2 linked regions of the Caenorhabditis elegans genome follow. The protein of the gene in region 1 interacts with the protein of each later gene in a pairwise test. Each region holds a gene or a part of one and is shown on either strand. Other genes may lie near its edges.

What was found.
Region 2: the proteins of cdl-1 (region 1) and frm-1 interact in a two-hybrid assay, tested with the Caenorhabditis elegans proteins (one large-scale study listed by BioGRID).

The regions. Positions count from the first base shown.
Region 1 is NC_003280.10:10,783,412-10,787,846, reverse strand, and holds cdl-1 (Histone RNA hairpin-binding protein), read right to left. Parts: upstream 2,396-4,435; 5' UTR 2,379-2,395; coding exon 2,232-2,378; intron 2,173-2,231; coding exon 2,038-2,172; intron 1,978-2,037; coding exon 1,564-1,977; intron 1,515-1,563; coding exon 1,209-1,514; intron 1,156-1,208; coding exon 1,009-1,155; 3' UTR 575-1,008; downstream 1-574. Other genes in the region: Putative protein tag-209, read right to left, coding at 1-75, 126-206, 275-340, 385-457. UniProt on the Caenorhabditis elegans protein: Involved in histone pre-mRNA 3' processing. Required for chromosome condensation, progression of cell death and morphogenesis.
Region 2 is NC_003279.8:14,894,336-14,899,411, reverse strand, and holds the start of frm-1 (Moesin/ezrin/radixin homolog 1), read left to right. Parts: upstream 1-2,049; coding exon 2,050-2,175; intron 2,176-2,229; coding exon 2,230-2,380; intron 2,381-2,627; exon of another isoform or gene 2,628-2,849; intron 2,850-3,021; coding exon 3,022-3,419; intron 3,420-3,975; coding exon 3,976-4,226; intron 4,227-4,552; coding exon 4,553-4,719; intron 4,720-4,768; coding exon 4,769-4,836; intron 4,837-5,076.

The sequences.
Region 1 (4,435 bases):
CAGTTGGCTGGGAACCGTTAGCAGCCATCGCCTGCTCGCGTTGGGTCTTGATGCTGTTGAACACGTTGGAGAACACTGGAAATTTCTTCTATTAGTGAAATTTCCACAAACATCTCAAATCTTACTTTCTCTAACATGAGCCACATTCTGTTGTCCCTCGTCTTGTGGGCTCACGTCGACAAGTTGGAGCTGTTGTTCTCCTTCGTCTGGAATTTTGAAGTTATTTAATTTTTTTTAGTTTTTCCCAGAATTAAGTCTAAAAATCTAAACCAACCAGCAAGCCCTGCAGATTCCTGGATCGGACCTCCGAGTGCAACCTTGTGATTGTCGGCTGGAAGACCTGAAATTTTTTGGGTCTCGCAACGAAAACCTATAGAATCTTACCGAAACCGGTCATATCCACGTTGGCACTGACAGAAACGGACAAAAGAGCGACGAAAGCGAGTAGTTTCAACATTTTTCTGGCAAATAACAAAAAAAAAAGACTTTATTTGAGTATCCACCGCCCCGAAAATTGAACTTGAAATCTGATCATAATCTCGTAAATCCTTTCAAATCGGTCATGGTTTTTTTTCAATTGAGGGGCATAGCACAAATTTATTCTCAATTTTCAATAAGTGCAATCATCGTTTTTTGGTGAATTATGGGTCTGAATAGATAGGATAGGTAGGGGTTATATGTTTGGAAATATATAGGAAATCAAATTATAATTCAATGAAATTCGTTTTTAACAACACAAGCAATTAGGAAGAGACGCGAAAAATGAAATGAGAAAGAAAGAGAGAAATTAGAAGGAGAAAATAGAACAGACTTTGAAATATGACAGGGGCCCATTATCCCAATCATCGTACTATTTCTATTACGGATCGATTGAACATTACTGATTAGAGTGAAAGAAAGAAAAAAGTTGAGGGGGTAGGAAAGATGTTGAGGGTGGAAAATTTTAAATTAGAAAATAGACGGGTTTTTTAAAACCAAAACAGGATTCAAGAAGGAAAATGAGTATCTTTAGTGCGACGACATCTTGGAGAAGTCAGTTGGAGCCGATGGATCCGTGTTGGTTGAAGCTTTCAGAGTGCTCTCATCCATTCCCATTTGTGAGTCCACATCGAACTTTCCGAGTAGGGAAGCCATTGAGTCAACTTCTGGTCGCATCTGAAAAAAGAATATTTTGCTTTAAAATAAGTTTAATAATTTTAAAAACATACAGTGACTGGAATGACAAGATCTCGGAGAACAGATCTGTTCTCAATCTCCTTATCGTTGTCACCGGCCTCACTCAATGCATCGGAATCTGAGTAACAGAAAGAAGTATTGACAGAATCTGATGGCTCCTCTCCACAATACTCGTACAAGCTTCTCTTCCATTTCTTGATTTGAGTATCCCAACTGCGGCGACTGAAGTTTATAAGCTTATTTGGGGTTCGTGGATGTTGTCCCTTGATGCGATCGCGAAGTGGCACCTCCGAAGTATATCGTTGATAGACAGCCTTTTCCTTGGCTCTGTCGATTTCCTGAAAACAAACAGAATAGTTTTAAAGCCACTAATGTCCAAATAATTACCCTTGAGCGTCTCTTCAATACAGCCTCATCAGTGCACCATCCGAGAGTCGGCTCTTCCCAATGATCCCTTCGTGACGGACTGCTCGCCACACTCGAACTATCGGATCCACCATTTGTGAACAGACGGCCTCGTGGTGCTTTACGATTCGATTTCCCAGTTTCTGGACGACGTTTTGAAGGTGATGCACCTTCATTAATGGTTGACGCATTTGACAAACATCTTTTACGGCTTATCGGGCCTGAAGAGGATTCCATAACGACAGTTTCTGTGTGCTCCTCGACGGTTGTGATGGTGTCTCCGTTACGTGTTCGGGATTTGCTTCTTTGTGAACGACGAGAAGACGTTGACTGGAACACTTCATTTGTCAGCTCAAGTGAACGAACGAATTTCGGCTTGTTTTGACTGTTCTGGGCCTGGAAAAAAATTAAAATATGCTAATGAGCATTTAATTTATAAAATGCGAAATCCTGTACCCTCTTTGGCTGTCCCTTTCTGCGAGATTCACTCTTGCAACGTCTTTCTTCTTCAAGTCTACTAGCAAGCTCATCGTCTTCCTCGGTAACTTCAGCCCACGATCTGTTCGAAAGGTCGGCGAAATCCTCGACCGACTGAAATATTTAATTTTCAAAATTTGAACATTTTTAAAATAAAAACAAGTAAAACTTACAAAGATATCACTCTGAAATTTGGCAGTCGCTTTGATCGGTGAGCCCCACGCCTTCTTACGTGGAGACGATCTTGTTCCTTTTGTTGGAGTCTTTTGTGCCATTTTTTTAGGCGTTGGTGGCGCCTGCTTACGAGGAGACGGAACCATTCGTGACTAGAGATGCCCTGGAAAAATGATAAATTAGAAAAAAGAGCTTCAAGATAACCAAAAAAAAGTATTATAAAACAGTATTGAAGTGCGATGACATGAAATGCGACGGCAAGAGATAAGAATTATTCACATTTCAAATGGAAACTCCCGCCTAGAGATGTCATACACCGTGACGCACTTTCACGTACCGTGGTAAGATTTTTGCGGGAAATTTAATTGCAGAATTCTATCAAGGAACAATTGATTAACAAATGATGGGAATCGGAGTTCAATTAAATATGTATCTGATGAAATCTTGTCTATGCAAGTTATATTCAGATGAGGAGATAAGGCTCGCAATTAAAAATTTAACAATAAGTGCAGAAGCGGATTTCAATCAATAAACAGTGCTCCTAATAGACAGAGGGGTTTGAACGTTCGCGCGCGCATAAAATGACTGGTATGGTACTAGCATCTCAAAGACAGACTAGGTGCAACAGCTGCCCATTTCCCGCCCAAAATGTTGGCACTGTGCCAAATCGCGATAGAGACTGTGCTTCCCGCAGAGTGTACAGATGGTGACAACGGTATGGGGTGACTAGGTGGTACTAAAGGGGGATGAAGAGAAAAGGAAGAAAAAGGAGGAAGAAATTGGCGCAACATTTCTAACGACTGGAGAGAGTGGTGACTAAAGAGTTCGAAATATATATTCTGGAAGATATGTTAATTAAATAAATAGATAAGGACCGCCGCAAATATGAAAAAAAAAACTTAATATTTATTAAAAATTCCCCGTCTTTGTCATGGATGATTGCAAAGGTTTGATTTAATTTTGGCTCCTAGTTAATTAATTTTCAAGATTAAAAAGTAGCTCGAAAAACTATTAAAATTACGAAAAAACTCTGCTACATTAACTGCATAATCTGTTGGCACACGTCTTCTCCTCCGAACAGATGTGTGCCATCACACGATTGTGACCCGCCCCCCCCCCCCCCCATAACCGTGTGCATTGTTAGATTCGCGCAACCTCTGATGACGTCATCGGCGCAGGTCGAGCTCTTAGCATTACTTTCTGTGTTTGGTTTATCTGTCGTTCACGAAGGGGAAGAGGTCATCAAGGTGGCGTGGGGTCTCAACAAAAATGAAGCGAACACACCACCTGTTCGGAATCCATAGAAATTATGAGAATAAAGAGACAAAGTTCGAAATTCGCAAAAATTCGATATTTAAGAATTTGGAGAACAGGAGTGAAACCGCGGAAAAATGTGAAAATCACAGTTAAATGTCGGAAAACTCGAGAAAATTGAGAAAAAGTTATAAAACAAAAGCTACTGTTTTGCAGAGTCTCCTTTGAATATTATTTAGAACAAGTTTCGTTTTTTTTCTCAGCTTGAAGCTCCTTATTTAATTTTCGACAGAAGCCTGAAGAATTTAGAAGTGAACTTTTTTTTCAAGTTTAAAACAATTATCTAGAGCACGGACATTTAATAAAAATAAAAATCCCTTGTGATCATCAAAAATCTATTTTCTGATTTTTAAAGCATACCGAACGGTGAGTTTTCACTCTTATGCCACTTTTTAGGGAATCAAGTTGAGAAAATATGTTTAATTTTTAAACTCATCAACTTTTAAAAAACAGGAAAAATACAATTTTGGGAATGAAAGAGAAATAAAAAAATTAGATAGAAAAACTGTTTCTAGTTTGAATCGGCTACCGTACCCTTTGCAATGAATCGCTGCAAGACCCTTGCCTTCTGAGCGAAAATGTTCCTTTAATGTTCACATTTTTGTTTCTTTTGGGATTTTTTATTTACGTTTTGTACAAATTCAGTCCATTTCAAAGCAATTTCTGAATGATTCATCAGTAATTTTGAATTGTTTGATTTTATAGATATCCTATTTATCAGCGCAATTAGAATTTCGTATTCAAATTAGTTTTCATTTATCAATTCAACTCAATCTTCAGTTTCATTTTTAAAAAATCGTTCTACTCGTTTAACGCCCATTTAATGCTAATTTTCTACACATATTCCCCCTTTCACAGCTAGCTGCGCATGCGCAAATCCGTGCATGTT
Region 2 (5,076 bases), on another chromosome or scaffold:
TCTTGCACTATTTCTCAATTTTTATGCTCTTTGTGAGGGACGGACATACGGTGACCAAGGGCATAGTGTCAGAACCAAGAGGAACCATCTGTTTGGAGATGTTTTGAAATTTTGTTTTGGCAATGCTGGGCATTTTTCACTTCTGGTAACGGTTTTGCATTGGGTAGTTTGAAGTTCGGAGCAGTGGTTGGTGGCAATTACAACTGGGCCGTTCAAATTTTCGATAATTCGATAATTTCCTCAATTTTTGAGATTTGGCAGTTGTTATCTATTGCCAAATATTTTTAATTTCCAAAGGTCAAACAAGGAGGGGCGATGTTGACTGTCTCTAAAGCTAGTCATAACTAGGTCTGTGAAACAGCGGAAGGAAACTTTCCAAAAAATTAATTGCCTCCAATAATTCTCTCATCGGCAACATTGTCAATCTACAAGCTGGTTCAACAATAAAAACTGTTTGTTCTCTCTCTTCTTTGCTATTGCGAAAAATTGTCTCATTGCAACACCTCTCTCGCCTTCATCTTTTCTGCCTCCGAATTCCCACTACTGTGATTGACTGAGATGAAAAGAATAGAATGAAACAGTGTAATAAACTAAACGTTTTTGTTTTTTTTTTCTGCTGTTTTGTGGCCAACACAACGCCTGTTGGTTTCGTCTTCTTCATCCTGATGGCGGTGGCGAGAATAAGAGAGGAGAGCAACAAATAGCACAGAAATAGCAACAGTTGTGTGTGCACCTCTGCTATCAATTGAAGCTCTCCGTAAGCATTATTTTTTGCTGTTTTGATATATTGGAATTCTTTTGAAACTATGTGAACAATTTTTTATTGTGATATTTGCCAATAATGTGTATTTTGGGTCTTGTAGCGACCAACATGACTGACAATGAGAAAATTACTCTATCGAAAACTTCTAATTAAAAATACTAATCGTGATTTCACTTTATCAAGTTCACAAGCTTTTTAGAAACGTGTAATAAACGCCTCAAGAATGTATTCGGTTGGGTCTCGCCACGATAAAAAATTGTGGTAGCAATTTTCTATTTATTCGGGATTTCGTGAGCAATTTTTGTAATCATCACTTTAATTTTTTCTCGATGTTTTCCTATTTTTTCCTGAACTAAAAAATACGAATTACTTATTGAAAAGCTAACGAAAATCAAGGAAAATCGTTAAAAACTAATAAATTCCTGAAAAAAATAAAAATTTCCACCATAAACGTTTTCGTCGCGGCGAGACCCACTCGAACATAACTATGCGCCTTTAAGTTTACTGTAGACAAATTTTGTCCGTTTTTTCGATGTTTTCCTCTATTTTTTTCTATTTTCCTACCATTTATTGTATTTTAATTAAAAAGTAATTAAAAAGCTAAAAAATTAACTTATTCCCTGCAAACTTTCGACACGAAATCTTCATTTCTCAAAAATTAGTGTTATTCGCGCTGCGAATCCACATTTTCCACTTTTTCACGTTCTCTGGCATTTATAAATTTGTTTTTGTTTTTCAGAAGATAAAAACGTAAAAATTCACGTTATAAATTCCCATTAAAATCGTCAAAGCCAAAATTTTGAATTCGTATTTATTTCTAGTAAAAAAAAAGTATTCTTCAACTTTGAATGTAAATTTAGTTAACTCTTCCACTGTTTTTCTCCAATACTCTTTCTTTTTTCATTTCCACCTTCAAATGATCCTAATATTTCATGTTTTCTCACCACAATCTGCGGGTACCGGAGAAAAGGTGTAATTTTTCTTTATTGTCCTTCTCTACTATGCCTCCCAGAATTTATTGCGTTTTTTATGCCGGGCATTGGCTACTTTTTCTCCCAACAACACCAATTCATCCCTTCTGTCTTTTTTTTTCGCAGAAAAACAGAACAAAATGTGGCATTTCGAATAGAGCGCGTTTGCATTACTCCCCCCCCTCCTCCCTGTCGGCCGGGCAATTCAAATTTTAACACTTTCTTTTGCTCTATAAACTTTTAAAACTTCTATTTTCAATGAAAGTTGCAGTTTTTTTTCTAATTTTTATTAATTTCCTCCACATTTCAGAGCAAATGGGTACCGATAGAGATCCCGGAGACCAGAAACACCCAACGACTAGCCAGCAGCCACGAGATTCGAAAATGCAGTTGGCAAAAGTTCTTCTTCCCGACGGAGTTCAAAAGGAGTTTGAGGTTAATGTAAGTTTTTGAAGAATTTCACCGGAAAAACTGCTAAATTCTAAATTTTTACAGAAAAACTCGGAAGGAGAAGCACTTTTCCGACAAGTGACACGAGATCTATCGATTGAGGAACGCGAATACTTCTCGCTGTGCTTCTACGACAAAGATGAGGGAACACGACATTGGCTATATAATGATAAGAATATTGCGAAACAGATTAAAGGTAAAAATGAGAAAAAAAAGAAAATTTTGGTTAAAAATGTGGATTTTCTTCACAAAAAGCTAATTTCCCCCGCTTTTTCAAAAAAAAAAAACTGCCTTGAAATTTTTGGAAAGCTGTTTCAAGTAAATAAAAATATTTCTCTTATTCGGAAAAGAAATTGAATCGATTTCATGTCCAAAGTTGTATTAATTTTCCTTTTTTTTTGTAAATTCCCTGATGAATTACAAGAATCTAGGAATATTATCCTTAAAAATATAATAAAAAACTCTAACCCGCGGCCACGTGTCGATTTACGCAGCTCGTGTATTCCTCGAAGAAAAATAGTTTTTCTACATTTTTCGCAAAGTTTTCTCAAATCTTCTGTGTATTTCAAAGAAAATCGAAAAATCTGATAATTTTAATTTTGAAATCGAGTCTTTTTTAAAAGTTTACTGATTTTTTATAGAGCGAAAGCGGAAAATATTGAAAGTTGGAATTTTTGTTTCAAAAAAAAAAATTAGTCTGAAAAACATCGAAATCTCGAACAATTTTCAACCAAAAACTGCGTAAATCAACACATGGCCGTGTAAGAGGTTTCCCGCGGCCACCTATTTCATTTTCTTTTTTAAATCAATTTTTCAACCAACTGTCAAATTTTGCAGGTCTTCCTTGGGAATTCTCGTTCGAGGTCAAATTCTACCCGACCACACCTACAACGATCGTCGACGATCACGCTCGCTACTACGTCTTCCTTCAACTCAGACGTGATCTCCTCACCGGACGTCTTCCAGCTACTGCCGACACACATTCTCTTCTCGGATCGTTTGTCGCTCAAATCGAGTTCGGTGATGCTCCAGCAGAGATGACGGATGCCTACGAGCAGTTCATTGTGGCGTCCAAGCTGGTGCCATCAGCACAAGCGAATCCGGAAACATACAAGAAGATTGTCGATTTGCACAGAGAGATGCGCGGACAGACGCCTTCTGAAGCTGAAAATCAATTTTTGGATCACTGCAAGCACCTGGCTCTCTACGGAATCCACCTTTTCAAGGCAATCTCCGTATGTTTTTCGACAAAAAAAGGTTCCTGCTCGAGTACTCCACTAGGAAAATATTTTTTCTTAAATTAACATCTAAACTTCTATCATTTTCTTCTTTTAGTGCTCATTCTTCAAGTCCTTAATTTTGAAGAAATATTTTTAGTGGTTTATGAAAAAAATAGTAGTATTTACTTTTGTCTAAAATAATTAATTTGTTAAGTATTCTCTTTCAATTTATCAGCTTGGTGATTTTTAAGCTAATTTTGAAATTTCCGCCAATTTCTTGAGGGTGATCAAATTTTATTCACTGAAAAGTGTTTGGCAAATTGAAAAACGGTGTTTTAACTTAAAAATAAAAAGAAAATCAGGAAAACTGGTAAATTTAGCCAGTCAACGCATTGGATGTTTGAATCGAATTATTATTAAATTTGAATGAAAATTTGTCATATTCGGTCATTAGGGTTTTCTGTCACTTAAAGCACAAAATGTTTTGACTCTGTTCCACCTGTAAAGGAGTAAAAACTATTCGAAAATGCCCAAATTAGCTTTGTTTTTATAATTATAAAATATCTTTCAGGATAAGGACAAGAAGCCTGTGGACGTTGGAATCGGTGCCGCCGGAATAAACATTTACCAAGACGAGCAAAAGACGCATTCCTTCAGCTGGCAGAATATTATCAAAATCGGATATCGTCGTACTTACTTCTCGATAAAGCTCAAGGCAGGGACTGTCGAGAAGAATGAGAAGACATTGTACTTCAAGTTGCCAAACCATGTCGCCGCAAAGAGGACTTGGAAGTGTGCAGTCGAACATCACACTTTCTTTAGGTAATTTTTGAGAATAACTTATCTCAAAAACTGAATTTCTAAAAGAGAAGTTTAAAAAATACGTGAAGATTGCCTAAAATTATCTAAAAATTTCGGATTTTTCATCTTGCAGGAGTCGAAAAATAATTTTTGTTCTAATTTTCGAATTCCTGCTCGATGGATCAATTTTTTTTCAACTGTTTAACTGAAATTGATTTTTGTTTTGTTGAATTGTCGAACATGCTTTTCCAAAATTACGATTAAATAATTATCTCTGTCGTTTAAATTTAATTTCGACGGGTCTGAAAAAATTATTTCTTAAAATTAAATAAAATCTTTAATTTCAGACTGATCCAACCTGAAGACAAGACACATAAATCATTCTTCAACTTTGGCTCCCAGCGGTTCCGCTATCAAGGACGCACTCAATTCCAGACAAAGATTGCCTCGCAGATGTTTGATAAACCATCGACAGTGGACAGAGCGCCATCTGCAATGTCTCAACCAATAGCAAGTGAGTTTTTGATTACAATAGTTGAAATACATTATTAATGAATTTACAGCAGCCGAGAATCAGAAACTTCAAACACTCAATCTCACGGATTCGGAATTGGAGCAGCGCCAATTTGAGGTTAGTTTAATTGGTTTCCAGTGTGCTTTTCTATGTTTTTGTTCTAATATTATTTTGCATGAAACGCTTTTTAGAGCGCTTTTTTGTGTTTTCTATCGCTCACATCACAATAACTGCTTTTCAAATTTTGGAGAAAAACCACCGAAAACCCCTCAAGCACAAACACAAAATTCACATGTTTCTTCTTTCTACTCAAAAATTTTCAAACTTTTCCGCTAAAACGTCAACTTTTTTCTTCAT